Oryzias latipes: one gene and its partners. The protein of the gene in region 3 interacts with the protein of the main gene of each other region in a pairwise test. Links are inferred from orthologs where the notes say so. Each region holds a gene or a part of one and is shown on either strand. Other genes may lie near its edges.

The links.
Region 1: the proteins of kinesin-like protein KIFC3 (region 3) and atf2 interact in binary tests that used the Homo sapiens proteins (3 or more experiments, as listed by UniProt). The two-hybrid records come from large-scale screens. The link is inferred for Oryzias latipes from reciprocal best matches to the Homo sapiens genes KIFC3 and ATF2.
Region 2: the proteins of kinesin-like protein KIFC3 (region 3) and coiled-coil alpha-helical rod protein 1 interact in binary tests that used the Homo sapiens proteins (3 or more experiments, as listed by UniProt). The link is inferred for Oryzias latipes from reciprocal best matches to the Homo sapiens genes KIFC3 and CCHCR1.
Region 4: the proteins of kinesin-like protein KIFC3 (region 3) and hsbp1 interact in binary tests that used the Homo sapiens proteins (3 or more experiments, as listed by UniProt). The two-hybrid records come from large-scale screens. The link is inferred for Oryzias latipes from reciprocal best matches to the Homo sapiens genes KIFC3 and HSBP1.
Region 5: the proteins of kinesin-like protein KIFC3 (region 3) and prkaa2 interact in binary tests that used the Homo sapiens proteins (3 or more experiments, as listed by UniProt). The two-hybrid records come from large-scale screens. The link is inferred for Oryzias latipes from reciprocal best matches to the Homo sapiens genes KIFC3 and PRKAA2.
Region 6: the proteins of kinesin-like protein KIFC3 (region 3) and fam161a interact in binary tests that used the Homo sapiens proteins (3 or more experiments, as listed by UniProt). The link is inferred for Oryzias latipes from reciprocal best matches to the Homo sapiens genes KIFC3 and FAM161A.
Region 7: the proteins of kinesin-like protein KIFC3 (region 3) and KAT8 regulatory NSL complex subunit 1 interact in binary tests that used the Homo sapiens proteins (3 or more experiments, as listed by UniProt). The two-hybrid records come from large-scale screens. The link is inferred for Oryzias latipes from reciprocal best matches to the Homo sapiens genes KIFC3 and KANSL1.

The regions. Positions count from the first base shown.
Region 1 is NC_019879.2:22,381,587-22,386,415, forward strand, and holds the start of atf2 (cyclic AMP-dependent transcription factor ATF-2), read right to left. Parts: upstream 2,978-4,829; 5' UTR 2,902-2,977; intron 2,277-2,901; 5' UTR 2,249-2,276; coding exon 2,201-2,248; intron 1,354-2,200; coding exon 1,257-1,353; intron 1,157-1,256; coding exon 1,038-1,156; intron 935-1,037; coding exon 809-934; intron 485-808; coding exon 306-484; intron 1-305. Other genes in the region: atp5mc3 (ATP synthase F(0) complex subunit C3, mitochondrial), read right to left, coding at 3,872-3,986, 4,077-4,267, 4,406-4,480. UniProt on the Homo sapiens protein: Transcriptional activator which regulates the transcription of various genes, including those involved in anti-apoptosis, cell growth, and DNA damage response.
Region 2 is NC_019872.2:16,058,389-16,062,159, reverse strand, and holds part of coiled-coil alpha-helical rod protein 1, read right to left. Parts: coding exon 3,677-3,771; intron 2,700-3,676; coding exon 2,553-2,699; intron 2,470-2,552; coding exon 2,359-2,469; intron 2,271-2,358; coding exon 2,164-2,270; intron 2,087-2,163; coding exon 1,974-2,086; intron 1,885-1,973; coding exon 1,812-1,884; intron 1,242-1,811; coding exon 1,123-1,241; intron 1,054-1,122; coding exon 865-1,053; intron 1-864. UniProt on the Homo sapiens protein: May be a regulator of keratinocyte proliferation or differentiation.
Region 3 is NC_019874.2:16,693,298-16,696,809, reverse strand, and holds part of kinesin-like protein KIFC3, read right to left. Parts: intron 3,264-3,512; coding exon 3,198-3,263; intron 3,010-3,197; coding exon 2,872-3,009; intron 2,803-2,871; coding exon 2,605-2,802; intron 2,431-2,604; coding exon 2,257-2,430; intron 1,915-2,256; coding exon 1,767-1,914; intron 1,576-1,766; coding exon 1,445-1,575; intron 1,358-1,444; coding exon 1,246-1,357; intron 1,172-1,245; coding exon 990-1,171; intron 924-989; coding exon 819-923; intron 143-818; coding exon 12-142; intron 1-11. UniProt on the Homo sapiens protein: Minus-end microtubule-dependent motor protein. Involved in apically targeted transport. Required for zonula adherens maintenance.
Region 4 is NC_019864.2:28,978,827-28,983,624, forward strand, and holds hsbp1 (heat shock factor-binding protein 1), read right to left. Parts: upstream 3,159-4,798; 5' UTR 3,042-3,158; coding exon 2,997-3,041; intron 2,322-2,996; coding exon 2,255-2,321; intron 2,119-2,254; coding exon 1,994-2,118; 3' UTR 1,992-1,993; intron 1,909-1,991; 3' UTR 1,040-1,908; coding exon of another isoform or gene 937-1,039; 3' UTR 483-936; downstream 1-482. Other genes in the region: DNA topoisomerase I, mitochondrial, read left to right, coding at 149-298, 937-1,039. UniProt on the Homo sapiens protein: Negative regulator of the heat shock response. Negatively affects HSF1 DNA-binding activity. May have a role in the suppression of the activation of the stress response during the aging process.
Region 5 is NC_019862.2:3,542,103-3,546,265, reverse strand, and holds the end of prkaa2 (5'-AMP-activated protein kinase catalytic subunit alpha-2), read right to left. Parts: intron 3,606-4,163; coding exon 3,355-3,605; 3' UTR 823-3,354; downstream 1-822. Other genes in the region: FYN-binding protein 1, read left to right, coding at 59-152. UniProt on the Homo sapiens protein: Catalytic subunit of AMP-activated protein kinase (AMPK), an energy sensor protein kinase that plays a key role in regulating cellular energy metabolism.
Region 6 is NC_019859.2:4,112,584-4,117,117, reverse strand, and holds the start of fam161a (protein FAM161A), read right to left. Parts: upstream 2,993-4,534; 5' UTR 2,822-2,992; coding exon 2,666-2,821; intron 2,273-2,665; exon of another isoform or gene 1,930-2,272; coding exon 1,661-1,929; intron 1-1,660. Other genes in the region: cct4 (T-complex protein 1 subunit delta), read right to left, coding at 3,897-3,911, 3,989-4,102, 4,175-4,409. UniProt on the Homo sapiens protein: Involved in ciliogenesis.
Region 7 is NC_019877.2:19,812,213-19,816,319, forward strand, and holds part of KAT8 regulatory NSL complex subunit 1, read right to left. Parts: intron 1,546-4,107; 5' UTR 1,478-1,545; coding exon 84-1,477; intron 1-83. UniProt on the Homo sapiens protein: Non-catalytic component of the NSL histone acetyltransferase complex, a multiprotein complex that mediates histone H4 acetylation at 'Lys-5'- and 'Lys-8' (H4K5ac and H4K8ac) at transcription start sites and promotes transcription initiation.

The DNA of each region.
Region 1 (4,829 bases), on a different chromosome or scaffold from region 3:
GGATTCCAAATGTTGACTTATGCTGGTGTGTTAGAAGTAAAATAGTAGCCTAAAAATAAATCTATATTTTTGAACAGTACATAATGTGAGTAGCTTTTTAAAGATGTCGCTAAAATTGGAAGAATTCACAGTTGATTTGGCGTTTACAACAAAATGAAAGACTTACACCAGAGTGCAGATTGATTAAAAAAATAAACATAAAATACAAGCACATGCCTCACAAAATGCACAAAACTACACAAAAATGATTAAAAAAAACTAAAAACTAAGATTTGTTTTAAAAATGGACGCATTCCGTTACTTACACTATGGGTCTATTAGTGGATGGAACCTGGGTAATAACAGAGCTAGATGTTGGCGATGGGAGAGCTGGCTGTATTACAACATTAGCGTCCGTGGTTGCTAGAAGTACATTGGGAACTTGGAGGGATGCAGGATGGACTATAGTGGATGTTGGCAGTGAGGCAGGCTGCAAAGTTAAGTCCTGAAAACATCATACAAGACCTTAGCTGCAGAAATGTTTAGTGAACACCAGCTTAGTTAGTTACAAGAACTTTTTGCAAATATTTTTTTGGTTGGTTTTAGGATTTCCAAATCAAAATTAAGAGCAGTGTTTGAATAAAAAAAAAAAAGAGAGTGGGGTTTGAAAATAAAAAACAAATAAATCGAAGAATTCAAGCAGGTGAAAGAAGAAGTACAATTTCTATAGTAAATGAATGATTACAGAAACAGGAGGATTCTTAATTATTCATGTTTAATAGCACTCCTAAAACCCATTAGAGAGCTAACTAAACAGAAAAAAATCTACCTTGTCATCGTTTGTGGTGGACTCAGGATGAGGAAGGGGGCTGTTCCGATGTGCATCTACAGCTGCGGGTTCCTCAGTTTTGTTGCGTATGACTGGTGTAGCAAGAGGTGACAAATCCAGAGGTAGCTTTGGGAAGGTTAAAAGAAAAAGAAAAAAAGCAGATATAAACTCTGGACTTCAGAGATCATCCTAAGAGAAGATTTGACAGAAGTTACAGAACAAACTCAACCTTCTTCAAGTCATCTTCAGCTGCTTTTTTGAAGTCATGGTCAAAAGGACTGGCAAGTTCGTTGAAAAGCCCGACTTCCTCGCAGTTTTTCAAAAAGCGAGTGGGTGTCGGCGTTTGATCTGTAATAGAGAAAAGAAAAGATAAAAGAAGAAAAAAATCACACTTAAGGAGGCAAAAACACACAAACATCTATAGACATAAAACTTAAGAAGGACTCACCAGCAATTATGATATTGTCGGTCCTCGCTGGGCCAAACTTTAGTGTCATCTCGTGTTTGTGTCTGTGGACAGCCAAGTGGTCTTCATTTGTAAATCTCTGAGCAAGGTAAAAAGGAAATAAATGAATAAAAAAACAACTTTATTCTGCATATCCTTTGAGAGACAACAATGACTCACAATGTTAAATATGTTAAAATACTAACAATTTCAAAAAGTAAACGGTGCATTGCTAAAATCCAAAGAAATCAAACCCTAAATAAACATAAACATAGGCTTAATGTGTGTTTTTATGTTTATTGTGACTGTGCGCGTACATTTACCACAATAATTACATATTTTTACCCTTTAGCCAACTTTACTTTGGCACTAGAAATTAAACAGTTGATGTGACTTCAAAAAAGAGATGCTTTTTATTATTTGACCCTTTTGTGAATCCTCAAATTGGATGCAGACTCAGGCTTTTATTAACTCCAGTGATTCTGTTTTTAAGTGGATTTATCTGTACCACAAATAATCACAAATCCTTCAAACAGTAACTTCAGCTTTTAAAATGTCTGATAAGAATGCACAAACTACGTTTTTTAGTTGAATTATTCGATATTATCAGCAAAGATAGCAAATGTATGTAAAATGTACACATTGAGTACCCAAATATTTGGTTACCATATTTGATGCATATATATATATATATATATATATATATATATATATATTAAAGTTAGTCTCTGGAGAAATACAACTACCGTATCTCAAAACATGTAATATTATAATACCTTCAACGTTTTTAAATAATCTAGAATGTAAAGATGTAAGCTCAACAACTCCACCATATAAATTTACAACACATTGGAATTGGTTTTTTTCCTTCTATTTTTCAAAAAATAAAAATAACTGAATCACTAACTAAAAAGAAATAAAAACTATGAAGAACTATGTCAGCTTACCTGTCCACATCCTGGAGCAGTACACTGGAAGGGTTTGTCATCACTCATATTAAGAAATTCTTGCTATATTTTTGTCCTACAATAAATGAATAAAAACAACATATTTCATCTCAATTAACTTAATTTCCATTTAAAACAGAAATAAATTCAACAGCCACAGAAAAGACAACCACGTAATCGTGGCTGATCAAAAGGAGGGTTAGAGGGTTAATTTTTAGATAATAGTAGAAATGACTCGAGACTCGAGTGGGACTGTTAAGGGCAAATCTAGTGAAAGGACAAATAAGATTTTGGACAAAGCCAGTGAGGAGGTGGGGTTGCTCTGTCTGTGCTTATTTATTAGCTCGGTGATGCAGTGCAGGGTCGTTCGGTGTGTGGTCGTTCGGATTGTGTATTTTTCAACACGAACAAAGAAATTATGCATGTTTTTTGTTGGAAAAAAAAGTTTCACGTTTAATTCCGACTAAAGTCATCACACAACAAAAGCTACATTATGATCCGATCCTCCGCTCCAGCCTGAGCTGAGATAACGCACAGCCGTCGCCATGTTAGAACCAACAAATCACTAAACAGATAACCTTTTGGTATTTAATTTGAGGGGGATTAATTTCACTTGGAAGAAAATAACACCGATTTCAGATAAAGGGTGCCCTTTTTTGCATTTGTAATAAAACTCGCTTTCAATTTGAGTTGTTACTTACCCCTTTAGCCACAAACGTTGTTTTCCCAAACCCCAAAGTATCGCGAGAAAACAATTTCTTCTTCCGTAAACGTCACACTAACCCAAACGCCGTAAACATACTAATGGACACTAATAAACCCATTTACCCATAAATTTACCCATTTACCCATAAATTCAATATTTTATAAATAATTGCCATCATTTCTACTGCATTACAACTTTATTTACAGTCTACGGAACCACCTCAAGTTAACATTCCTTTTTTACTCAAAGGCCAAATTTCTTTAAAACAATTCAATTTAGAGAAACATTATCGTGTACTCTATATTAAATTAAATCACAAGGAACTATTTTTGATTGAAGCAGTAAACAAACCACATGGGTAATTTATATTACAAAAAAAAAAAAACATTTGGTCAACTTTGTTGCCAAATATTACTAATTTACTGACTTCCAAATGACAATTACTTTTTAACTGAGAATTTTGTTCTGATGGACCGTTTTAGTGGCAACTCATTCATTTGACAAACCTCGAAACCCTGTTGGGGTCGGGAAATAAATTCAAAAACCCAAATTATAATTCAATCTAGATTTATTCAACGTGATTTACAAAAGCAAGTAATCACTTGTTGCCTCTTACAGTTCTACTTAACTGCAACTGAGTTAAGTGCTTATGACGGTGGACCCCATATAACTCTCAGAAAGCAAGTTGATTCACAAGGGGAGAAGATGTTCTGACATTTGTGAGAGCAAACTGCTTTCAGTTACCATGATATTCCAGACATAGACGTTGCTGCCACTGATAAATACTCAAATGCATGTATTAAATTCACGCACATTGTTATGTTTGTACATGTTTTGTTTAATTTTGACTGTGTCGGAAAGACTTGAAAAATTTACATTTCCATGACACCAACACTGAACAATTTTAGAAGCCACAATAAAATATGTAGTCACATCTGTAATGAAAGTGTTGGGAGGGCAGTGCTTTACATTGCAAACAGGATCAGAAAAGCAACCATCAAACAGAATAGTCCCATAGCTTCAGACAGGGCGAAACCCAGGATGGCATATGAGAACAGCTGCTGCTTCAAAGATGGGTTCCTGCAAACAAAAAGAAGTCAATAAATGTAAAGAAAACATTTGAATTGTACCCCAAAAAAACATGTACACAGTGACCAAATGGCAACAAACCTGGCATAGCCAATAATGAGACTACCGAACACTGTTCCAATTCCAGCACCAGATCCAGCGACTCCGACTGTAGCGGCTCCAGCACCAATGAACTTGGCGGCGGTGTCAATGTCCCTGCTGATGGCACTGGTCTGGAAGCCTCTCAGTGTGACCTGTGTGAGGGGGCTTTGTGGCATCACAGCAACAGAGCTCTGCAGCGAAAGACAAAAAATGAAAACATTCACTTCAAAGAAACACCACAGACAGGCATGGGAAATACAGTTACTGTTAAAAAAACACCACAAGTAGTCAATAATACAAAAGTGTTTATAAACTTTGTTTATCCTTACCTCTGTTTTGCCATCAGGCCTGGAGAGCACAGAGGCAGACATGGGTCTGTAAAGAGCCCGGGAACCAGCACGGACCTGCGGATCAACAAAAAAGAAAAGGATCAGTTTAGTTAGGTTGGAAGTTTTGTGTTTTAGGTCCATATATGCAAAAAGCCTTTCAATGACACTTGGTAAATGTTTATACAGTTGAATATACACAGTTTTGTGTTATGCAAGCATGGACGTCACCACAATTGCTGGTGTCAAGCTTACAATTAGTTTTGTTTCTGTCACACTTTAATGGACACAAGGACAAACCTGACAAAAATCCCTGTTTCCTTCACAAAAAAACATGCCTTTTTATTCAAAAGCAAGTCATATGACCTTAGAGGCATAACATACAACACATAAGTAAAATAAAATAAAAATCCCAAACATCTAACTT
Region 2 (3,771 bases), on a different chromosome or scaffold from region 3:
GACCTGCCAGTCAGACATCCTCTTCAGCCCTCTGCCTTCAACCAACACAATCCTAAATGATTCAGAGAATCAGCACTTCAGCTTTCCTTCCCTCTATATCTGGGTTTTAGTCTCCACAGTTGGATGGTTTTGTGGTATTTTTCTTCACTTTTTTTCCTTTTTAGGTACTATTTTTTGTAAAAAAAAAAAAATAATAATAATAATAATAAAAATAAATAAAAATTCCTCTAAAGGAAAGTAAACACTTATGGTAAACGGTAAATGTGATGCCTGCATCATCACTTAATATGGAAATCAAAAAGAACTGAAGCTAAGGAATCCAGTAGTGTTACGTTTTTACAAGGTTTGACACAAAATAATAAAAAATTGGATAAATTATTAATTAAAAAGCAAAATAAAAACATTATATGAAGACATATCCTAAACATTTTACACAAAATTTTGTTCTGATTTCCAGATATTTAAAAAAGTGTTATTCTTCCAACTACCAGAGAAAAAAAATAAGCCCCATCCTTTTCCACTTAGTAACATTGAAAAGCCTTAAATGTCCTCTTAGATACCAGATGAGTAAATTTAGTAGTAGAGAGGTTGGGAAATATTGGGGTTTAAAATACCCTCTATAATGGACAACTTTACATTTCTGGTAGTCAGGAGGACATGAACAATAAGAATGTGAACAATGTTCTTTATATCTTTTTTTCTCAAAGCTGATCAGTTTTTAACAAAAGTTTCAGTTTGACATGGTTGACTCCACTTGATCAGCTGGAGACATAGTGTCCGGGTCCCCGTAAGGCTGCTGAAGCATCAAAACAAGAACCTTTCCAGAAAAGGCCAGTTCCGTTCAAAGTCAAGTCGCTGCCTCACCCTGCTGGTTTCGCTCTTGCTGGTGGAGCAGCTCACAGGGAAGTGTCTCCAAGCTGATGCTGGTCTCATCCAGCTGTGCCTGGATCTGCTGCAGCCTCTGTTCCGCCTTCTCTTTACCGGCTAGAGCCTGTTTCACCTCCATGCAGCTCAGCTCCAGCTCCTGCTCCAGCTGCCTGACTTTACTCCCATCTGCAGACAGAAGAAGTCTAATCCCAATCATGGATTCCAGAAAAGTCATAAATCAAAACATGATCTCACATTGTTCCTTCAGATCAGCGAGAGCTTTCTCAATGAGCTCTGGGGTTCTTTTGAGCTCTAGACTCAGCCTGTCTCGCTCCTCGCAAATCAGACCGTATTCCGTCTGCAAGTTTGTCAAGCTGCAAGACAAAAAATACTATAAGAAGACGAACTGTAAGAAAATGCAAAGTTAAAAATATCAATAAAACAGACAATCAAGTCCATATAAACTTGTTATTAATACAGTTTTTACCCTTCTCAAAGAATTCTTAAATTTTCATAATTCAAATAATTCAAATCTTTGACAGGGTTGAAGGGAAATGTTGCTTTTGATGCAAAATGATGTCACGTCTTAAATTATGCAGTGATATTTAGAAGATCTATTTTGTTCAAAATCTCGGATCACTGTTTCCATAGAACAAAACAAAAATACTCGTGAACCTAATTTTGAGTAGAAAATCTAGACAAATAGAAAATATGATTGCATATACTCTTTACACTTTAAATGAAACATAAAAAAATAAACAAAAAAATAAAAGTGCTTGATGTCATTGTGCCCAAAACTACAAGTGTCCCAGTTCAACAAATATTTATTTGAACTGGGTTTATTTAGTTAAATAAGATCTGATGGGAAAAACTCATGTGAACCATTTTTAATTATCCAATCAGGTCTGTTTGTGCACGACAATCATCTGATTGTGAACCTATACCTGTTCTTTTCTTGCTTTGGTGGTTGACACGCCTGCTCAATTTTCTGCAGAGCCGCTCGCCTCATGACCAAACCTGCAGAACCAAAACAGTATTCACTGAAATGTTGTATGCACGTCTATGAGGAAGAATTTCTGTCAACAAGCTAACCCCAGAAGCCTTACACTGGATGGTCTCCACTCTTCTAGAAGCAAAAGAGAGCCTCTGGGTAAAAGTGTTTAGCTTTGTTTTAGCAGAGTCTACTTCTGCGGTCTTGCGGTCAAATTCCTTCTGGAACCTGTTGAGAAAAAACTGCAATAAATACCATTGAGGAAATACAGAAATGAAAATCAATTTGTATCAAATAAAAGTTACCTCTGCACAGCTTCTATCAGGATCTTGATTTCAGCCTCTGCTCTCTGGTTCTGTGACTTCAGCTCAGCATTTTCTCTCTCAACTTTTGTTAAATCTTCCCTCAGTGTCTAGTTTGATAACAACATATTTTTAGAAAAGCGACATGCAGACACATCTTTATAGTGTCTTTATGAGCTCAGACGTTCTGATGCTAACCTCCTTTTCTACCTTCTCCAGGTCCAGCTCTGCCATCCTGTCTTGCAGACTGTGTTGGAGCAGACGGTTCTGGTGCTGCTCCTGCTGGAGCTGCTGCTCCGTGGATCTCACCTGAGACAGAACAAGTGTTTTTTGGTTAAAAATAACACTGATGAAATGTACAGAGTTTGAAGAACAAATGACTTTTTTCATACATCAAAAAGAACTTTGTCTTTTTCTCTTCTCGTCTCAATGTCTTTAGAGCGAAGCTGGACGCACAACTTGAACACTTTCTCTCTCCACAGCTGAAGCACTTGAAGGATGTCAGGCTCCTTCCATTGGAGAGGATCTGCAGAGGTTTGCTATAAAACACACATACTTTCTTCAGATAAGGTTTAAATTTAAAAACACATTTCCAAAGCATCCTAAATGTTCATCTCCAAATCTCCAAAATAGACCAAAACTCTCAACATTACAACCAGTAATATTTAGCTGTTAATATACACACAGTATTCAAAATATTTTGAGGAGAACTCCCCCCTCCCCTGCAAAAAATTCGGTTTTATATACATTTTCACTAAAATAACTAATAAATATTTATTAATATGAAAGTGTGAGTGTTATTAATGATTGTTTAACAATTTTATATATTCACAGGTACCTAAAGCATCTGAACAAAAGAGAAATCTGTTACTGTTGGTAACATTTTGTTTATGATTTTAACTTTATTTGCTTATTTTCAACTTCAGGTGTAAGTCATAAAATCTGTTTGTTTTTTTCAGGATAGGGCTGATTAAGATATTGTTTGATAAATAGAGATAAAATATTTTATACCAGCCCAATTAAAGTACATGGATAAGGACCCAGAAGTTTAGTGGGACCAAAAAAATATTGTGTAAAAAAAAAAAATACTTTATCTATATGATCTTGTAGTTTTTTGGATCATTTTTTGGATCTTGTTTCTTCAACATGATTTAGCTAAAATGTGACCACAGTGAAAGGCATGACCAACTAAGCACTGATCTTTTCCTTTAAGCAAATTAGGGATGAGACGTGAGTAAAACCAAGAGACATTAGTAGAACCCTGGGAGTTCACACAGTAAGCTGTGATTGTGACCCATTTCCTTAGATGATGGTTTTCTGAATGAACTAAAAGTAAAGTTGGGAAATGTGTTTGGGTCAGTGATTATGATGTAGATTAGTCTTTAGACAATTTTCTATAAATTGTATACATTAATGTATAAAAGCAGCCTAATGTTTAAACGGGAAATCAGTAGCTTAGCCAGAAAGACGAGGTCTTGGCTGTAATAAACAAAGACTTCTATCTTGAAACACTCACCTTCTTAACCAGCTTCTCCTCTTGGAGGGTGAGAATCTCATTTACAGAATTAAGTCTGACAGTCAGAAGCTCAGTGGTCGTCTGAAGAGCCGCCT
Region 3 (3,512 bases):
AGCTAAAGTACCTCAACACCTCGTTGTAGATCTCCACAGAGCTGACGGAGACATTGTAAGACCACATGTCCTTCCTCTCCTCGATCTCATGAAAGAGATGTTTCAGAGCTCGCTGGTTAATTCCAGGGTTTTCCACGGTGCCCTGAAATGCAGTGCTTCAATACGTAAAAAAGATGTATACACGAACATTTCAAATACAGATAAAAAAAATCATAACAACTCCATTTGTCAATCATTACATTAAATGCATTTAGTGTTTCATGTCTGTGTACTGTGTTTAGAAGTGCAAATATGTCTATTTATGATTAGGAGTAGTTATGTCAAGAAGACAGTCTCAGCTTTATTAAATATCTTTATTTCCCAATCAATTAATTATGTCATATTTTAACAAGGTTGGATACATCAATGTTTTTGGTTCTTTTATTACTTGGTTATTATTACTTGAAATAATCCAACAAACCAACCACTAAATAAAATGCACTGTTAAGCATGGCAACTCCAAAAGGTAATATTCATTTTTACAACAACAACAAAAAAGAAAAATTCTATGTGCAAAATGGAATCTATTTAGATTTTATTGTGATAAAATGGGATTAAATGATTATGCTTGCCTCACTCAAACCTAAAAAAAATACAATAACCTTTTCATTGGAAGTTCTTTTCTCCGTAATATTCATTTGTCCATGATATTGAAACTCCAAATTTTAAAATGCTAAAAGATTATTGAATACATATTTTTAAATTAATCTAGAGACAAATAAATAGTCCTGTTCTTAATACTTCATGGGATTTTTTAATCACTTTGTGAGCCAGCGTACCTCCATAGTGTGGGTTTTTCCAGAACCAGTTTGTCCATATGCAAATATGCAGACATGGTATCCATCAATGCTTGACGTCACAAGAGGCTCAATCTCCTGAAAGATCTAATTTAAAAAAAAAAAAAATTATAAAAATAGCAGTCTGGAAAAAGTATCCTCCTCTTCTCTTACCTCTTCCTGAGTGGCCTGTGGTTGGAAGACCTTGTCTAGCTCAAAGACACGACCCTTTCCTTTTGTTAACACAGTCAGAGAGGATTCATTGTTGGGGTCTATGGCAACGACCACAGACTGGCCCTCCTCATGCTGATCCTCCTTCAGCACAGGCTTCACGCGACACAAAACGCGAATGTTGCCTGAAACAGCAACATGTCTTAGTCAGTGACAGAGCATCCTCACTGAAGCCATCTCCATCATTCTGTGTGTGCACCTTTGAGCTCCACCAGCTGCTCGTGGTACTTCCTGCGCAGTGCAACCTCTTTTCTGTACTTCTCCAGAAGATCTTTGTTGGCTTCAGACATTTGGTTAATGGCAGCTGCAATCTGAAAATGGAAAAAGACGTCTTAGAACTTTGCTCATCATGTTCGTTTAATAAGCTCAACCTTCAAGGTTTGCGTGAAGTTACACACCTGCTTTTTCGCTTCATTGATGGCGCTTCCATAAAACTCTGAGAAGTTTCGAACTTGGCTCCTCAGACTGGCGTAATCCGTCTTCATGGAGCGTAAAGTTGGAGGGAGTGCTGTGAGACGCTTCTGTAAAGCTGGAAAAAAAGGAACTGACACCTTAACCCTAATTCTCCTTTCCGAATGTCTTTGTTGGAAATTTAGCTGTTGTCCTTCAAAACATGAGATGTTTTTGTGAAGCACCAGATGACAATCTCATCCAAAAACAAGAGCATTTTGCTTTCTGAAATTCATCTGAAAACGTCAGGCGGTGATTTAGCGTACTCACTGAAGAATTGATCCTGCAGGTTCTGAAAGTGGTCTGCTGAGCAGCTGGCAGCAGCTCTCACTGCTTCCTCCTTCCTCTCCTCCAAATGTCCAATTTCTTTCAACAGTTCCTCCCTCAGTTTGGTGATTTCTCTCTCATATGCTGCGATCTGTGAAGGTTTAAGCACAGCAGCTTATCACTCCCACTGTCTCAGTGTGCAGCTTCAGTTCAGCAATCACTTCTTTCAATAAAATTGATCAAGGTTGCACATTGGTTGCTCGCAAAACATTTGGTCTCCTTTTCTTTTGTGATTTTTTCTCTTAAGAAGAAATGAAGCTATACTCAGTGCTAAAATCCAGATTTCTAAAGTCTGAGTGGTCAGCAGTAAAATGTACATGAGTTAATAAGCTTTTTTTCTGCACAATTTGAACTAAAACACAAGAAATCGAACACGCAAGTTAATAAAAAAGGTGTTTCTAGATGCAGAGAAGTTCTTTTCGTTTTGTTCTACCTTGTGCTGCAGATTGCAGCTGTACTCATCAGACTTTCGGATTTGCTCTTCCAGCTGCCTGCAGTGCTCGTTCTGATTGGACAGCCTTTCAGCCAATACCTCGTTCCTCTGTCTGGCTTTATTCAGCTGCTTCACTGTTGCTGCTGATTCCACCTCCACAGTCTGAGTCACATACTGGCAGAAGGGGATAGAAATCCAAATACAGAGGCTTTATCTCCCAAGGATAAAAACGGAGGTTGTTATTCCACTGCAAATACAGCAAGGGATGGCAAACTTCACTGCTGCTGACTGATGTTTCTCAAATGCCTCTTTTCAAACCACCTTCAAATATCCTGTAGCATGGTTTACCTTTACAACAGGCTCCTTTCCCTTCTCTCTGTCCAGCTCCAGCTGCAGCTCCCTCATTCTGTCCTCTCGTTTCCTCAGCTCCTCCGCTCTTCTCCACTCACTCTGCTCACTCCTTCTCTCCAGTTGTGAAACTTGCTCGGCACGTTGCTGCAGGGAGCTCTCTAGCTGCTGCACTCTGCTGCGGAGATTCTCATTTTCCTGCCACACAAAGTTAGCCGCTGGTATGAGTAAATCTGTGTTCATCAACACGTGTTCGATGCCGCTTACCTTGATGAGCATGTTGCTGGACTGGGAAGGGATGGTGGAGAGCTGCTGCAGGAGGCCCTGTGTCACGCTCAGGCTCTGCTTCAAGCTCTCGTTCTCTGCTGACAGACACAGCACTCGCTTCTCTGAGTCTGTGGCGCCCTGACAAGAAACATACGACTCAGCTCCAGAGCATCAATTGGAGGTAAATCAAGAATAGCCACCTCGTGTAAATTCCTCAGCCGTCTGTTATCCACACCAGTACTTTTGGATTAGTTGGAGTGACAGCTTTGCTGAGGACACAGACAAACCCTGAACTAGTGATACAATGAAGGCCTTGAAGGACTCACTGTTGCTGTTCTCAGTCGTGACAGCTCCTCTTCACGCTCCTCAATGCAGCTCTTCAGCTCATCAATCTGAGAAGAATTTAGATAACCCCTTTTTTTCATATATCGTTATCAGTATTTACTGTTCTGTACTTATTACATTACATATAATAGAACTTGGAATCATCCAACTCTTTCTGAAAATTCTAATCAAGAAGAATCTGGCGAAATAACAGCAAAATAAACATTTGAACATTGGCATTCATGGATTGAAACATAAATATTTAAGTCTTGCTGTCTGATTGTTGTGCGTTCCTGTGTGTCAGTAATGACCGACTG
Region 4 (4,798 bases), on a different chromosome or scaffold from region 3:
ATGCCCTACATGAATTAATTTGGTAGGACTGAGTCACTAGGCAAAGGCATCTTGATGATACATCTGATCCCCATCCAGTCTGAAACTACACGATTGGATCACAGCCTTGGCTGTTGGACTGAACCCCCGTTTGTTTGCGTCTCGTTAGTTTAGTGGAGCGAAAGAAGGCGGCGGTGAAGCGCTGTGAGGAGCATCTGCTGAAGATGGAGGTCCAGGCGACTGACCGAGAGGAGAACAAGCAGATTGCTCTGGGAACCTCAAAGCTCAACTATCTGGACCCTCGGATATCTGTGGCTTGGTAAACGCCATCTTCACCCCGACGGCAGAGTTCCACCGCTGCTGCGGTTCTTCTCTTGAGACCTCCAGCTCGGTCTGATGGTCGTCAGCGATCCTCAGAAACGTCTGAGTGGGCAGAACAGCCCCGTCACTCAAACCCTTATTTTACTGCGAATCCAGCTCGTACACACACCCAAAAACAGAAATGTTTTAATAGATTTTTATTGTAAAGAACACATTTTGTTAAGTTTCTGGTTTAGGCTGCAGTGTTGAAATGTCCAGATTCCATCCGTTAACTTTGATTCTGGGCTCTTAGGATCTGTGGTCACTTGATCTCATTCAGACAACAGATCCTCCAGTTTACTGATCTGACGTTTCACCATGTGACCGACCTGATTTCTATAGAGATCAGCCAATTGTTCCAAGACTTCAGAATTCATAGAAATGCTGCTTGTACCAAAGGAAAGTGGGGTTTGGTGCTAAACCAGAGATGAGAAATGCTTCTTCTGCAACGATTTGGTGAAGTTTGGCTTGAAAAACGTTCAGGACGATAAACTCAAGGTTTCTCTTCACCCCATTGTATGTTTAAGACTTTTCTTCTGCAGTTGTAATACTCAGTTGTTTGTGGTTGAACGCTTTTCTGTTCTTGTTTTTAATCAGGTGTAAGAACATGGAGGTGCCTATAGAAAAAATCTACAACAAAACCCAACGGGAAAAGTTCGCCTGGGCCATCGACATGACGGAGGACGACTTCGAGTTCTGAAACTGAACTTCCACAGACGTATAAACTCACACCAAGTGGCAGCTCAGGGACCTTTTGCTTTATCCCATGTAGAGTAAATGAATATTGTATTGAGGGGATGTTTATGAAGTGCTGAGGTTCTACTACTGCAGTTCAATAATCAAGCTGCACTTTAATGGATGTTTACTGCTACTTTTGGTTTGAAGACGGTCTGTTACATTTTGTTTGCATACACTTGAATAAAGGTTCCTACCATGCGGTAAAATAAGGGATGTTTTAATCATTCAATTTGGCAAAATCTTAGTTATACACTCGTTAAGTGGCACATTTCCAATTCTGCTCATTTCACGTCAGAATCCAACAAATTCATGAACAACAAAGAGCATTGAACCTGCAGATCGGATGAATTCAGTAGTTATGAAAGGTCTGTGGCATCAGACGACTCTGCCTCATAAGAGAAAATGTAGAAACTCTTAGCACCGTGGTCTATTTATCAGCACCTGGTCAAAAAGGAGAAACTGCTCCGTACATCGCTTTAATAGAAAATCAGAAATGGAATGCATTCTGCATCTCGTTGCCAACAGTGCTGCGCTGCGAGCTCCGGGTGTTCGCGGTTCATCGTGTTGGGATGAGGTTCTGCTGGCCCGTTACCAAGCACGGACCGGAGAGAAGAACCGACGCTGGCGGCTCGAACGTCCAGGTCAGGGCACCAAATACACAATTCTGAAGGGCAGGTCACACTAATTCAGATTACTACTACTCCACTTCTCACATCATGACATAACTGTAAACCGTTAAACCATTTTATATATATATATATTTAAAAAAAGCATTTCACACCAAATCAGAAGTCATCGGTAAAGAACTTTGACTTCACATCATTTCTGACCCTGTGGGACAGACAGAAAATAAAGCTGATTAGGAAATCTACCAGAACAAAGAAATTCTACAGGGGTAGACCGTTTTTCTTCACCTTCATGATGATCCTTGGCTCTCCTTCGGCTTCTCTGGTGTCGCCTCGGCCTCCTCCACACCAGCCTGGGTCATCAGGTCAGCAATGTTTTTCTCCAGGTCATCGATTCGTGTGCTCATCTCATCAAGTGGACACTGTTAAGGCAAATCTTTTTTTTTTCTAAGCAAACTGGAGTCCTGTAGAAAAAGACACCGGGACATTTGATGTAGAGTATGAGAAATGTAAAGACGACCATCAGAGCTCTGGCTTTCAAAAAAGGATATTCCTCCCGATGATCTGGTCTGACATTGTCTGGAACTTGTCTTGCATTTGCTGCAGGAGCGTCTGGACCTTTAGAAAAACAAAAGAAGGCCACAAACTTTAATCTGTCAAACCCAACAAGAAACAGTACAAGATCAAGCTGTGAGCGGCCCAAAAGCGCTTCCCGCCCTCTCAGTCCCCTCCTCACATACCCCACTCTGGACATAGCTGCATGTGAGAGAAAAACCACTAAAAAGGAGCTAAGACCTTCATCTTCCAGTCAACACACTAATCAACACCTAATGTTTCAGAAGAATCGAATACAGTCTGTGATTTAGTAGGTAGAGGTGCAACTTAGACCTTTAGTTTTGGTTCATTTCCATGGCAACACTATTGGTATCCACACCAACAGAAGTAACCTGGGTGTTGCGAGAACTGCTGATTATTATTATTACAATAAAAATGTAAATTCATATACTTGTTATTGAAAATGCTGATTAAAGAAGATTTATGTAAATTAAATTAGTCAGGATGAAGTGCTAATCAGCTAACAATGTCTTTTATATGGTGATAAACTAATAAATATTTAGTGAGATCGATCAGAATTTAGGTGTCAAGTGGTAAAACAAAGGGGGAAAAGGCAAAAAGGAATCAAACTTAATACTCCTTTAGATGCAACCTGCATTTGATTTGTTAGCAGTATAGTTAGCATTGCTAGCTACATCCATATAGCTAGTCCTAGCTAGCTTGACGGTCCAAACTCACCACGTTAGTAAGGTCCTGCACTGATTTGGGATCTGTTTCAGCCATGGTGTGAATAAAACTGTATGTCCGGACCTTCACGGCGGTTAAATTTAAGGCGCTTTATATTCGATTATTTAGCCTCAAGGTTCTGCTCGCCTGTACCACCCACGGGAGAGTCAGCTGTGCCACAACACGGCAAGTCTCGCGAGATTTGCTCATGGGCTGAGATCGGTGAATTTGCAGAACCCTTCGATACAAATAATGCTGTGGATTGACGACAAACATTAGGTTGTATGTATATTTATAAAATAATAACACATTTGAAAAATCAGTTGACGTTCTTATGTTTAGATGAAAAGAAAAACATGAAGCTGTAAGATTGAAGCGGAAATTCTAGACCTGTGTGTGTTTATGCGCAGCCGTGTGTGTGTGGGGATGCGCGCACACGTCTCTCCTCCTCCTCAGCGAGTTGGGATTTGAAAGTTGGAGCTGCGGGATAACTCGGCGGGTTTTCACGCCGAATTCACTGCGGGAGACGGCAAAGTTCTGTTGGACTGAAGGCGATCGGTGAGTAAAGCAGAAAACTGACGGTGCTGTTGTGCATCAGAAATGCGGCTGTTTGCGTAAAGTTCAGATTTACGCACGCGTGCAATAGGCTGAAACTTCACGGTTGCTTTAAACTCAGGCTTACCACGTGGTTTTTATGCATCATTCTTGAAGTTTTATTTTTTTTAACGAGACTGCAGCTGTATTGAGTTTGTCCCAAAGGAGCAGCAGCTCCGGCATGGATGTGTGTGGAAGTCCTGAGTGACATGAAGAAGCAGGCACTGCTGGCCCTACCCCGTGAAAATATGCTCCGCTTACATAACATTGAGTTTCCTCTTTTAAGAAGCTTCGGTACATTTCAGCTTCCATTGTTAGTGTTTACTTTCAACACATAAACAAAAGGAAATAGCAGAAGCCTCACAGTACTGAATAAATTGTGCAAAGGTTCCCTTAGAACGGGTTTTAACTTCCTCCAGGCTTGTGCCTAGTCTAACTGATTATAACCTGTAACTTTTTTTATCAGAAGCAAACAATTACTGAGCTTTATATGTAACTTAGACGTGACTTTTGCTCTTCAAACTCCTGCCATAATGCTGAGGTTTGGTGTTTAATGTCTTGCTGCTGTTCTTGTCTTTTCAAAATTAAGCGCTGCTTAAGTTACAGCAGTGGTGACGTCTTAGCTGAGTTTGGCACGATTTTCTGAATGAAATCTTTGTCAAGTTATACTTTAAAAAAATGTTCCCACCTCCTTTGTAACCTCCCTGTATTTTCTTGGCATGCGCACCTCATGCTTTTGTAGGCACAACACAAGGGAGAAAGTCCCTGGGTACGCTGTATGGAGCTAAAGCTTTAAGGGTGTTTTGAAAGCAGGCAGGTCATCTGTGTAACTCAACTATCGGTGTCCACAGCAGCTGCAGTGAAACTGTTAGTAAGACGAGATGCTGTCTGCAGTTTAAACTTATCTGCAGACTGGCAGACCCCTCCCTTAGAGAGCCACATTTCTGCTGTGTAGGAATGTCAGTGTTGAATATTTCTTTTTTCCGTCATGTGTGTGTGAGTTCCAAACCTGATTCAATGTGGAGATGATCTTGTAACGCACATTGGATTTGTAGAAATTAAAGCTGATTTCTTCATGAACGCAGAAGTGATTAAAACTCACATGAAAATGGACACCTTTGCACTAATTTTCTCTACTGCAGCTAATTTAAATTAATTAATTACAATTACATTTAAATTTAAAGTCCCGCTCTAATCACTGTTTGATTTATTTATCAAAG
Region 5 (4,163 bases), on a different chromosome or scaffold from region 3:
CACGCTGGTATCGGAGGAGAATGTGAGTCATTTTCATGCTGTCGTTGATCGTTTCCAGGCCTGAGCACGGTGCAGCCCAGGAGTTCGATGCCACTGCCATCATTTTACCTCCTCCCGAAGTTTTCGCCGACCTCCCTGAAAACCGTCCCTGAAAGTGGGAGGCACCTGGACTCACTTGTTTGCTGCAGCCCGTCGTCCGTGTGGACTAAGGATGCTGGAAATCTCTCTGCACATGTGAAAATGACCCTCTGACTTTGAACTTTGGATCAGAGGAATTTCAAAACACCATCACGTCCAACGAGCGGGTGAACATTCAGGCTCGTCTTTATACAACCATGTAAACCGGAGAAGCAGAACTTTACAGGATCTGCTCAACAATAAAAAGACTAAACTTCTGTTCCAAACACTGTCCCACTGTCAAGGGTTAGAATCCTGAAGACCCGTCCTTGAGCTCCTGCCTGAAAACGGACAGAGTATCTTGTCAAGCCTGATCACAGTCAGCTTTATTTCTGCGCGTTCATTCTCTTCTTCCTTTCTTCGTCCTCCGTGAAACATTCAGCGTTATGCTATTTAAGTACACACTCCTTTTAATGCGTCAGGTTCATGTCATTATTTGTAACTGCATGGAAATAAGCTACACAGACTGTTATTTTGCACATCTGGATGTCTTCATACCAGGACCACCCTTTTAGGAATCCTTTTTCTGTCCCGGATTCCTTTGCTTTGCCAGGTTTCTCCATCATAGCCTGGTGAGGGCATCTGGGGTGTGTTCGCCTTCACCAGTGTGCGTTTGTGTTGACAAAAGCCTGAGAAGCAAAAGTGTTGTTTTTGTATCTTTGTCTTTATTGTCAATAAATACTCATTAAAGTGCAAATCATAACAGCAGGATCATGCAGCGCACGGCAAAACCAATCCAGAGTTCACGTCTGTGCACGTCCCCCAGGAGCCGCCGTGTACAGGGGGCAGACAGGGAGGGGTTAAAGGTCACGGCTATTCAGTTCCCCACTCACTTTGGTGTCGGATGTGGTTCTGCTCCAGACCAGCTTCCAGAACCAGCGTGCCGCTTGTGGCTGCGTAGCTGCTGTGTCTGACAGTAATCATGAAGCAGGCGTGCTTCCATGTTGGCAGAGGGATGGCTGCTCCGTGCACACACAGGCAGGTGTGCACGGACGTTGCATGTGTGCATGAGCAGAAAGGCAGCAGAGTCAGAGACGGAAACCCAGGAAGGTCGCAGCTTCAGCGGAGGCCTGACCGGCTGTGAAAAAGCCCTCGCTCCACTTGTGTTCAGCAGCAGAGAACAGGACAGCAGTGCTGCAACAAACCCTGCATGTTCACCCCATCAAAAGCAGGCCCCAGGACTTATTGCCTCTCACTTGCTCAGGGCTCCACTTTCATTTGCCAGAATAACCCAAAGAGAATGTTGAGATGCTGCAGCCGGAATCAGCAGCGCGACCTTTGAGGCCGGACTGACTCAAACAGAGAGGCTCTGAGCCGCTACACACTAAGTCTGAGATTAGAAGAAACATTTTGCAAAACTAAAGTGACACTGTCATTTGTATAAATGATCACAACAAAGCCCTTCAGTCAGCCACACAACCTAAACTAACAGGCACTGCAGCACATCCTCTGCCTCTGAGATGAGCGTTTGAGCGGAAACGGGACATCAGCGTGAACACAGACAACAGATGGAGTGTGATGCAGTGAAGAGCCAATCTGACCTGGAGACAGGTTTCGAAGTGCAGCCCGAGCGGAGGCGGAGCAGTCCTCTGACCCCGCTCTGCTTCATGGCCGACCCCTGCAGCCTCTCTTTAAGCTCCACGCGTCTACACTTCAACTTCAGCTCACCAAACATCAGTGAAGAAATCCAGGAAACACACGCACACACAATCAGGTCACACATTTCCACCTGCACAAATCAATGAGTTGCACTTTCTCAGGCAGCTGGAAAAAGGGGGTTGTGGCTTATCTCCTCCTGCAGGACATACACACCATTTCACCCAACCGTTGTCCTTCTGTGTCCACTATCTACACACTGGATAAGGGAGACAATAGGGTTCAGTGTGTTTCTGAACTATTTTTCATAATCTAAAGGCTACAGGTGCTGCGGGTTTTTGGGCTGTCCGGGCCCATGGAGGGTCGTAGAGAGGAGGGGCTGCATCTTAAGGGGAGCGCAGGTGTGTCTTGCAGTTCCCTTCAGGCTCGCGACGCCACCTTCAGGGATGTCATGAAAATGGAACGTACCATTGCCACGGGTGTGATAAGTCTATTGAACAGTAGTCGTAGTGATGATGTAAGTTCCACGTACTCATGACATGCGGGTGATGCTGTTGTACGATGACCTTACGCTACACTCTACTGTTTGTTGAGGTGTGATACGCTTAGATGTAGAAGTAATGTCACTTTGTCCTGGGGTAAAAAATCTGTGAGACACGCCTGCGTCTCACCTACCTCCCCTTCACCTTACCCTTACGTTTCGTATAATGGTTTCCTTGCAGAATGCTCGTAGAATAAATGTGCTTGAACATTTTTGCTCTTCGGGGTCACTGGGCGGGGTATGACCTTGATATTTCCTCCGTGCCCTGTACAGATTTACCCATTTTCCACCTGCAGAGAGCCCACATCCCCCCGTAGGAGCGGTGGCTAAAGGCTTTACTGTGCTAATCGAGCAGCACTTACAAACAGATGACGTGCTGCGTGTTAGTTAGTAACTGCTGCTGTTGTGTGAACAATCACGCCTGTGTCCCGACACCAGGGACTCACTGCAGCTCCTGAACAAACGAAAGGAAAAAACGTCGACAAGCTCTGCTGCTCCAGCTAACGCAGTCACGGCGATAATGCACCTTGTTTTGTTGTTTTTATCTACATTCTACCTTTAAATCAGATTGACCTTTGGTTTAATGAAATGTTTAAAGGACAAACTTTGTAATTTTTTTCAAAAATAAATAACCATTTGATACCTAAATAATTGCATTATTTGCGTGATGAATAAATGATGCTTGTGTGTCAACACTTTTAAAGCTTTCTAATAAGAAACATAACCAAAGCTTCTTTAGTAAAACCCCCGATGGAGTGGTGTTGCCGTGGACACCGCTGCAGGTTTTACCATCAGATGTTGTTTTTGACACGACACTGACCTGTTCCTTCACGCTTCTCTGCTTCAGTGACATCATGAGCAGAGTGGGATCTCAGGCTCTGTTTTCTCAGACCGAACAATAGTATTGACACAAAAAAATGACCGTTTGTCTCCCTCTTTCCTTTCTGCACGCTATACAAACACTACATTTAGTTCTCCACCTCCCAGATCGGCAGATACTTTCAACCCAACATTCTGCTGACAGCAAAGGTCAACACACCTCAGCGCGCAAGCGTGGTGATCAGACTGGCACACATTTCAAAGAAGTCCATGGTGTGCGATCCCTGCCGCGGGGAGAGGAGGGGGGAAATGCCGGACAGCGATCCCGGGAGGGAGGAGCTAAGCTGAGGCACATCGTTGGCTGGGCTTGCAAAGTCAATGCTCAGCCTGGGTCTGTGGAGACCTGCAGTGGAGCCGGACCTCTGAGGAGTGGACGACCCCGATTTAAAGCCCACTGCTTCCAGGATGTCATCTGAAGGTCACAACATAGAGGAGCATTTTATTAGGGACTTCCAAGCCTTCTGTAGTAATAATCCAAGCATTTTTAAATCAAACTATGAATCTGGCCTGTAAGTGACTAAATACAAACATCGCAGGAACTCTTTCCAACTTTTCAAAGCCACTTTTGCAAAGACCTTTAAAAGAAATCAGCTGCTCAGGATGTAATGAATCTGTGTCCTCTTTGCATCTTATCCTGTTCAAGACTTTCGCCAGATCAACAGTGGACCAAAAAAGTATTCAGTCAGCCCCCAATTGTGAAAGGTCTCCCACGTAAATAGATGAGAGAGTAATTTTCATCATAGGTAAACCTCAACTATGAGAGACAAAATGAGAAAAAAGAAATCCGGAAAATCACATTGTCTGATTTTTAAAGAACTTATTTGTAAATTATGCTTGAAAAATAAGTATTTGGTCACCAACAAAGCAAGACCTCTGGTTCTGACAGATCTGTAACTTCTTCTGTGGGAGGATCCTCTGTCCTCCACTCATTACCTGTATTAATGACACCTGTTTGAACTGGTTATCTATA
Region 6 (4,534 bases), on a different chromosome or scaffold from region 3:
TATGGCAAGGAAGTAAAAGCGCCGTTAAATACGTGTAGAAAGATTTAGAAGACCCTAAAAGTTAGGTATTTCTTATAATCGAGTTCCTTTTCCACAGAAGACAATATGGTTTTTTTCTGCCTCAAAAGAATTATGAACTCTTAGACGACTCTCCAAATAACTACCGTTTGAATCCCGCTCAAGTAAGACTTGGACCCACCTCGAGCACAGACTAAACCCCGCCCAAAGCCAATTACTTAAAACCATTGACTGTATATGAGAACTGGACTGAGTGAATGTGACGTCACCCATGGAAAATGGTTTACTTATGGCTCCAACAAAATGTAATCAATTCAGTCGTCTGTTTTTTGCGATACAGACACCACCGTGTTGGAGTCAGCAGTGATATGTCCAAATTGGACCCCTGCATTTCTATGGCGACAACTCTCACCAATCGGTACTGTTGGAAGTCCACATTTCTACCACCTGTCAATCAAGTTTACAAAACTTTGGCCGCTGAATTTTATTGAGGCATCTGATGGGTCAGCTTATAGCTTGAATAACCTTTACAACAGAAAAAATATCATGAAAGAACTAAGATTATTGAGAATTATGATAATCTTTTGATTTTTAGAGCATTCCCAGTGGTCTTTCAATTATGATTATGCTGTTTTTAGCCAAAATAATTTTTTTTTGGCTAAAAGTTTCTGCAGAGTGGCAGGAGTTCATTAGAAATTCACCTCTGAGTTTTGGGTTAGGGGTTAAGCTAAAGATGACGTCTGTCACCCACAGCAGAGAGTTCTCTGTTTACACTCTCTCTCGCTACCTTTCAGGCCCTTACACCCCCAACCTAACATTACTGTGGATGATGGTGAAGCTCTTCAACCGTACAGTCTAGATCCAGATTCCAGCTCAGAATGGAGCAGGGAGCTTTTGGCCCACCCAGCGTATTTTCTACATCACAAATATCCTCTTTTTCAAACTGTTTTTTGTCTCATCTGCTCCTGATTCACAGCAATTTGAATAAAGAAATACTCAGAAATGCAATTATAACCTTAATTCTCTTCAAAGTTGTCCTCCATCTTCAGAAAAATGCCATAAGAACATGTTAAAAACACCACAAAACTGTGATTTTCTATGAAAATCACAGTTTTCATAGAAGTGGGTCTTTAAAAAAAAAGGTTTCAGAGCAAGAATAGTTATTCTGAAAAATAGAATGACTGAAGAACTTCTGTTTATTTCTCTATAGAAGTCTATGCGATTTTGGCCTGTTTGGGACGCCAGGAGGGAGGGGTCACTCAGTTCAGTTCTCATTTACAGTCAATGGTTGAATCCTGCAAAACATGCATAAGATAGGCCGAAGCTTTCTTCCATGCATGACAGTATAATCTAAAAAAGAAATGGACATGCGAACAATAAAAAATTTAAAGAGGAAATCTTTAAGCTTTCCAGGTAATTTGTTTTTTATTCTTAAAAGCAACCCTAAAACATGTTCAATTGTAGGCAGCTGAGCTAATTATTTTATTTTATTTCTGCAGGAATGAATATCTCATAATCAAAGTCCCTTAATCTCAGTGAAAATATGGTTAATATATAAAATAAAAAAACAACAACAATAGTCTCGGTTTGCAAAATTAGTGTTAAACTGTCAAAGAAATTCCTTTAATCCGGCCCAACTGACCTGTGACCGATATCCAGGGCCTTCATATCAAAAGCTTCACCGGACCTGAGCTGCAGCTTCTGCTGGTACATGCTTTCCAGCTCTGCCATGGTGCGTTCGTGGGCCCTCTTCAGCTCCTCCAGCTTGCTGTAGTATTCCTCATTGGAGAAGAAGATTTCACTCAGGTCCAGGCGGTCGACGGCTGCCCTGAAGCTGCCCCCCACGTGAGCTCCTCCCATCCCCAGACAGTCCTCATCACAGAAATCCGAGCCCGAGTCCCAAAACTCCAGCTGAAATGCCCAAAGGTCACTCAAGGATCATCATGTTAATTAACAGGTATTTGAAGGCTTCCTACATGAATTTATTAAAAGTTTGTTTTCACTTCTATGCCCTAAAGAACACTGCTGCCCTGTTGAGGGGCAGTAAGGTCTTCAGGACTAAGCTCATTATCCTGCAGTCACAATGATCAGAGCCATATGGTTGGAACACAAAGGTGAGCTCAGCATGAAGGAGCTCCGCTGACATCTACTCCTCCTAAAGTGTCCGGCCTCCATTAAAAAGGATGTTTGTCAGAAGCGTTTCTGAAAATTAGACCAACTTGCTACGAGGTGTTTTTTCCACAGAAGGTCATTGCTGTTAAAAGGATATAAAAGAGATTACCGACCCAACAAGACTTCTGGTAATCTAGTGAAGACAGAAATCCAAAAATAGACGGGACAACAAATGACAGATCAAATCCCTTCCACCTGGCTGACCTGAAACTGTCAACATCCTGTTAACTGGACATAACCTGTCTCAGGTCAGAGGGAGCTGCACTCAGACTACAGGAAAACAACAGCTTCACCCACCTTCACATTGTAATAAATAAATAAATAAATAAAATATAGTATAACAACCTCCAATCTAAAGTGTATACAAAGTTTCTATATATCTCAATAAATACAGAGTTGTCTTAACTATTTTTAGAAAGATTATTATTTTGAAAGTGTGACTTTTATTGTGAAATATTTTTAAACATGTGTTTACCTCTTTCTCATAGTCCCGGTTGTCCAGCTGGCCTGCAGTCGCGTGCGTTAGGACTGCCCCGCGCTCGTATGACGCAAGCGGCGCCTTGGTGTGCGGGTCCACCGGCGCCTTCAGACAGGAAGTTAATAAAACGTTCGTCCGGTGAGGATTCGCCATCTTTTTGTTGAAACAGTTTTTTTTTTTTAAAAAAGCGCCTTGATGAGGTTCTGTTACTTAGTTCGTTCCCCGGAGGGAACAGTCGTTGTCAGGTTGGCTGGCTTCTTAGCAACGGAGAAGCATCGTTAGGAAGGAAGTGACGTAAAACGGAAGCAAAGAACAAAGCTCTGATACAAAATAAAAGCGTTGGAAACGTGTACATTTTTAAACTGAACGCTTAAAATGAATCGAGTAAACACAGGTTCTGACCATTAAAATGTATATATTTTTTTCTTATTTGATTAATTGAATGAAAACGGCTACTTAAATAAAAAAAAGTATCTTAATTCAAATAATAAAATTACTTATGCATTGAATTTATTTTGCATAGAAGCAGGACTTTTTTTTTGAACCAGGCCATGATCATCACCCAATTTTTGAAGACACACAAAAATTCTATCTAAAGATTTTACATTTTTAACCAATTCTATAGAAAAGCAGCACCGTCCACGTCTTGGATGAGCATGAGGTCAGAGGCACCGGCGCCTGGAGTCTAATTTTTTTTAAGGTATGAGTGTTAGACTGACCAGGAATCACTTTAAATTCTATTGTATGCGTGACAATGACAAATAAAGATCTGTCATTACTCTTTAATCAAGAGAAAACCTTATTTTATAACAGCAAATCAACATTTTACATTTAGGTCATGTTTTATAATGTTACCATTAGTCTGATAAGTACTAGAAACCAGATTTTATGCATCTTTTCATGCTGCAGAAATTATTTGGTAAATACGTGTTAACTCTGCGTTAATATTTCACATACTTTTTTCAAATTAGCGGTTTTCAAGACATACAATTTAAAAAAAATGAAGACCAGAACATGTTTCTAAATCTGTGTACTACACTTTAGTGCAACATAAAGACAAAGACAAAGAAAGAAAGACAAAAAGAGGCAGCAGTGTCAACAAAAAAAACCCCACAGCCTTTTATTAAATTAGGCAATGCAATAACTACAGCAGAAATCGGAGCAGACTGCTGTCGACGTGATGCTCTGATCCCTCGCAGAACAAACGGGCTTCAGAAACCGGACAGACCTATCGAGTGTTCACCTGGAACCAGAACACAAAAATTAATTTCCAATCATACTTCTGTAAAATGAAAAAGGGAATCCAGTTCTGAGTCTTACCACGTCATCGATCTTGAGGATGCTACGGACCGTTTCTGTGGCCAGAGTCAACGCGCTGATGGAAACCAGCACGGGCTGCACCACCAGCTCCTCCAAGATGTTTGAAATCCCCCCCTGTCCAAAAAATAAATAAATCTGTCAAGCTGTCAACCGCGCACAGACGGAGCAAAAGGAAAGCACGCCGACCTTGCGGACGTTGATGCCGGCCATCTTGTCTCCCTGTGCGTGTTTGTTGCGGAGTTCCGTCACCGTGGAGATGGGGTTCAGGCCCGCGTTCTCCGCCAGTGTGGAGGGTATGACCTCCAGAGCATCACCATACGCGCGCACGCAGTACGCCTCCATCCCAGCCAGAGTGCGCGAGTACTCTGTCAGACGCACGGCCAGCTCAATCTCTGGAGCTCCGCCTCCTGCTATCAGAGCCCTGAAGAACAGAGGAACAATCAGCATACGCTTATGACCAAAAACATATAGTATATACATAGATATGTGCAAACATAACTGAGGTCATGTCAGAGGTTTTGTTGTTTAATGAGACAAAAGTTAAAC
Region 7 (4,107 bases), on a different chromosome or scaffold from region 3:
AACTTGCCCAAGGAACTCCCTTTTATTCCCTTTAAATACTTTAGTTCTGTGTAAGATAATCTATGAATGATGACATCACTTACATTTTGACATGCCGTTGCTCAATGTCCACTCTGGACAGCTCCTCATCCTCCAGGTCAGAGTCCCCACCAGAACTACTTTCTGTTACATCTGAGTCAAAGGCGCTTTCAGCTGAATGGAGGTTTGCTGTTCCACTCAAATACAGCCTCTCCAGTTCCAAGGGCATGGAGCCACTTTTCAGAAAGCGACTGAGGCAATCTCTGCTGTTGGAGGAAGAATGCCGCCCGGTCCTCCATGAAGTTGAAGGAGTGACAGCCTCTGTTTTACGATTACCAACCAGTAGTCTGTTGAGGGCCGAGTCCAAAAAGCCGCCCAGCTGCTGCTGAATGTGCCGCTCCACCTGCTTAGCCTGTACCACCTGCAGACGTTTGCGCAGGCGCCGTAACCTGTTTTCAATCTCTGCTTGGCGGCTGCTGTTGAGAAGTGTACGTTGTTTAACTTGAGCATCAAGGCCGTCTGTGCATGAACCACCGGGCAGAGGAGGCTGCGGCGCTGTGGTGCAAGGCGAAAAGCCCTGATGGCTGCTACCCGGTCTCTCTCTGTCAGAACCCTGAAGCTGTCTGAAAGGTGCATGTGAACCAGATTCCTCCAAATTTAACTGTTCAGAGGAGTTTGAGTTGTCGTAGGTAAGAGGGGAAAGTGCAGCAGAATGAAGCACTGGTGATTCAAAATTTTCTCCATCTGTGTTTTGAGAAACCTCTGTGGAATGCTTCTGTTTGAGGGTTCCTTTCACAGGAGTATGCCCTGATATGGTTTCCGACTCCAGCGGCATGTTCTGGGACTGGGAGTCCGTGGCAGCAGCAGCGGGCTTATCACCATTCACTGCAACCACACAGCTAGAGCCTGACACAGTGGCAAGTTTCTTGGCCAGACCATTGACAGGTGCCATGGGCTGGCCACTTCCGTTGGTGCTGCCACTCATGAGGCTTTTTAACTGTCCACCAGAGAGCTCGATTGCCTGCCTCTTCCTCAAGATGAAGTCTCCCCCACCGTTGAGCAGGGAGGTGGGCAGTATTCTGTGGTTTTTCAACACGGACTGTTTAAGAATGACTCCTTGCAGCTTGATTGACTCCTTAGTTGCAGAGACGGGTGGCACATCAGAGCATAAATAGGAAGCCACCAGTGGCTGGAGTTTTCCCAGGGCAGAGGCCTGAGACACAGAGTCTGCTTGAGGCTGCTGCTGCTGTTCCTGATCACCACCACAAAAGTCGAGGGGGCACTCTTCAGAAGTGACCTTGCACTTAGCGGGGCCGCTGCTGTGGATGAGGATGTTGCTGGCGTTACTGTTGTTCTCTCCACTGGCTCGCGAGAGGCTTGAGGATGGGGCAGCCAGTTTGAAGCGGATGTGGTGAGCTTCAGCTGGGGCGTCGGTGAGAGCGGGCGCCATCGCAGCCATGCAGTGCAGAGGGACGGGCACCGCGGCCTGCTCCACTCCACCCGCTTACTGCCCCACCTGAGGACAGCCTGGGAAAAGACGTGGAGGAAAACAGAGTGACAGAAAAAAAGAGTCAATCAAAAAAGTTGAAATATTTCTGTAGTAACATAAAATTCCAAGTTCTTACCCATTATAATACAATTAGAGTAAAAATACTGATATTTATGTGCCAAAGGTAAATAAAAGATACCAAAACTGTCAACCACACTAAACTATAAGGCCATTAAGTGAGACTAAAGAGTCAGAGTTAAGACCCGTACACACCGGGACGAATATTCGCCAGGCGTTATTCGCCAGCGTTTTTCGCCACGTTTTTTGTGTTCACACCCAGGCGATTTTCGCTGACGATGAGTGGAGTGAACATGCAATTTCATTCCCTGACATTAGATGGCGCTTAATGTAAAACAGAAATACTCCTGTACACAAGGTGGCGCTGCGCAACTTTACGCTTCTTAAAGTCGCTTTTCACTCAGAAGAAGAGAGCAAGTATTTACACGCTTGTCAGAATCAAACAAAGAAAACATGAATATTTCAAGCACCAGTAGCTCCAACTGGTACTTGGTTCGGGGATGTTTTAGAATGTCCGTCATTATTGCTTCGCGGCTGTGTAGACGCTACTTGGCGTCTATCTTCTTCGCTGGTATGTGTGCTCAGCAAGGCAGTTTTGTGTTTGAGCGCCCCCAAGTTGTGTTTTACTGTAATTTCAGAAGCTCCAGACACATGAGCAAAAGCGCCGTTCTCATTGGTCGAGTAGATTTCGACGCGACGAAAAAAAAAAACGAACCCGAGGCGTTTTTTTTTTTGACGCTTTAACGCCTGGCGTTTTTTCGCGTCGGTGTGCACACTCTCATTGGGGCCCTTTGTTTAGTCACGAGGCGTTAAACGTCGGCGAAAATCGCCGGCGAAATTCGTCCCGGTGTGAACAGGCCTTTAAGTTCAGTAAGTCAGACTTGCATTCACAGTAACTGTAGCACTTGTTTATAGCATGCTAAATGTTAGCCATGGTAGAAGCGTTAGCATATTCATGATACCTGTAACTCTCAACCTTGTTTGCAACATAAAAAAGACTAATAAAGCTAAAACAAATGTTACTGTGACTACACTAAATCCCAACCTTTTTAACTGAAACATGATTAAAAAAAAATAGTAAGGCAAAGCTACACAATAGCCATGTTAGCGTATTCACAATAACACAACCAGAATGTATCTATATGTAAAGCGCTTCAGATTGTAAAGTACATTGTTGTTTTTTTTAAACGAAGGCCTTTAAGTTCGCCTTACAGTGTGGAAAATACTTTATTGAAATGTGCTGACTATTTTAACAAATTAGAACAAAAACATTTTTTAAAAGCTAAATCAAAATAATCAAATATGCTTTACAATACATTTTTTACAAATACATTTTGTCACAAAACAATACAAATAAAGAGTGATCATATACAACATAAGACCATAAAAGTGGCATAACAGGTTCTGTGACACACTAAGACTTAGTGGAAAATCACTACAACTGATACGAGTAGAAGAAATGTCAATATTCAATGTCATGATACACAATTTAAACTGCAGTCGATTCATGATCACAAAAGTTTTGGGAGAAAATGCAATTGAAATTTTGAATGTAAATGAAAGTCACTGCAATGTTTTCTGCATTCTGGCTGACAAAAATACATTTAAACAACTCAAGATGAAAAAATATGTCTTTTGTTTACTACATTATTTTTCCCAAATGTCTGAGTGAAGAAGTCAACTTTCCAACAAAGCCATGGAAATGATCTGCTCTGACCTTGTGGAAGAGAATGCTTCAGATAGTTTGAATAACAGCACAAAGCGAGCTGAATTTCAGGTGAATAAATAATTCCCATTACACCCAAACAACTATTTAAAGAAAAAAAAACAAGCATTTATTTTCATTTTTTTGACAGAGCCCCTCCTAAAAGAGAAAGCATCTAAGGGAAAAAGGGATTGGCAGCACATATCTGATGAGAACAACAGAAGCCAATGCAAACAGTCCAAACCCTACTGCCCTACATGTGCTTTGTCAAGTCAGTATGCAGCACAGCACATGATGTCATTTTAACAGGTTTCCAGTATCATTTACAGAGCGGCTTAAACATGAAATACTGTCAAATAAAAATAAAAAAACTCAAAAATGATTTTCAAAGGAAAACAGACTGCATTTACGTAGTTTTGGTGATTAACATGCGTTTGACTAGAATGAAAGCCTGTGAGAAACTTTGAAAAAGCCTCCCTTCAAACAGATAAGAGATGCGCCTCCGCGCATCTTCTGCAGGATCGGATGAATGTGAGCTCCGTTTTTCACCGCAGTTTCTAGTCAGCGCGCACTACGCCATGTTGGTATTTCCGAAGCAGATTATGCAATGCAATCCATCTGCCTAAAACCACCCATTCCGCTCGCAACACAAAACGAATTCACGCAACAGGAGCGAATCATAGAATCGACGACTGCACAGGCGGGACCACACGAGCCATGGCTGCTCGGTTTTTTCTTTCTTTCTGTAAACCGGAGGCGAGATGCGACAAAAACCTCCACATCCAACGTTAGCCAGCCAGAACGCAATCATCAAAAT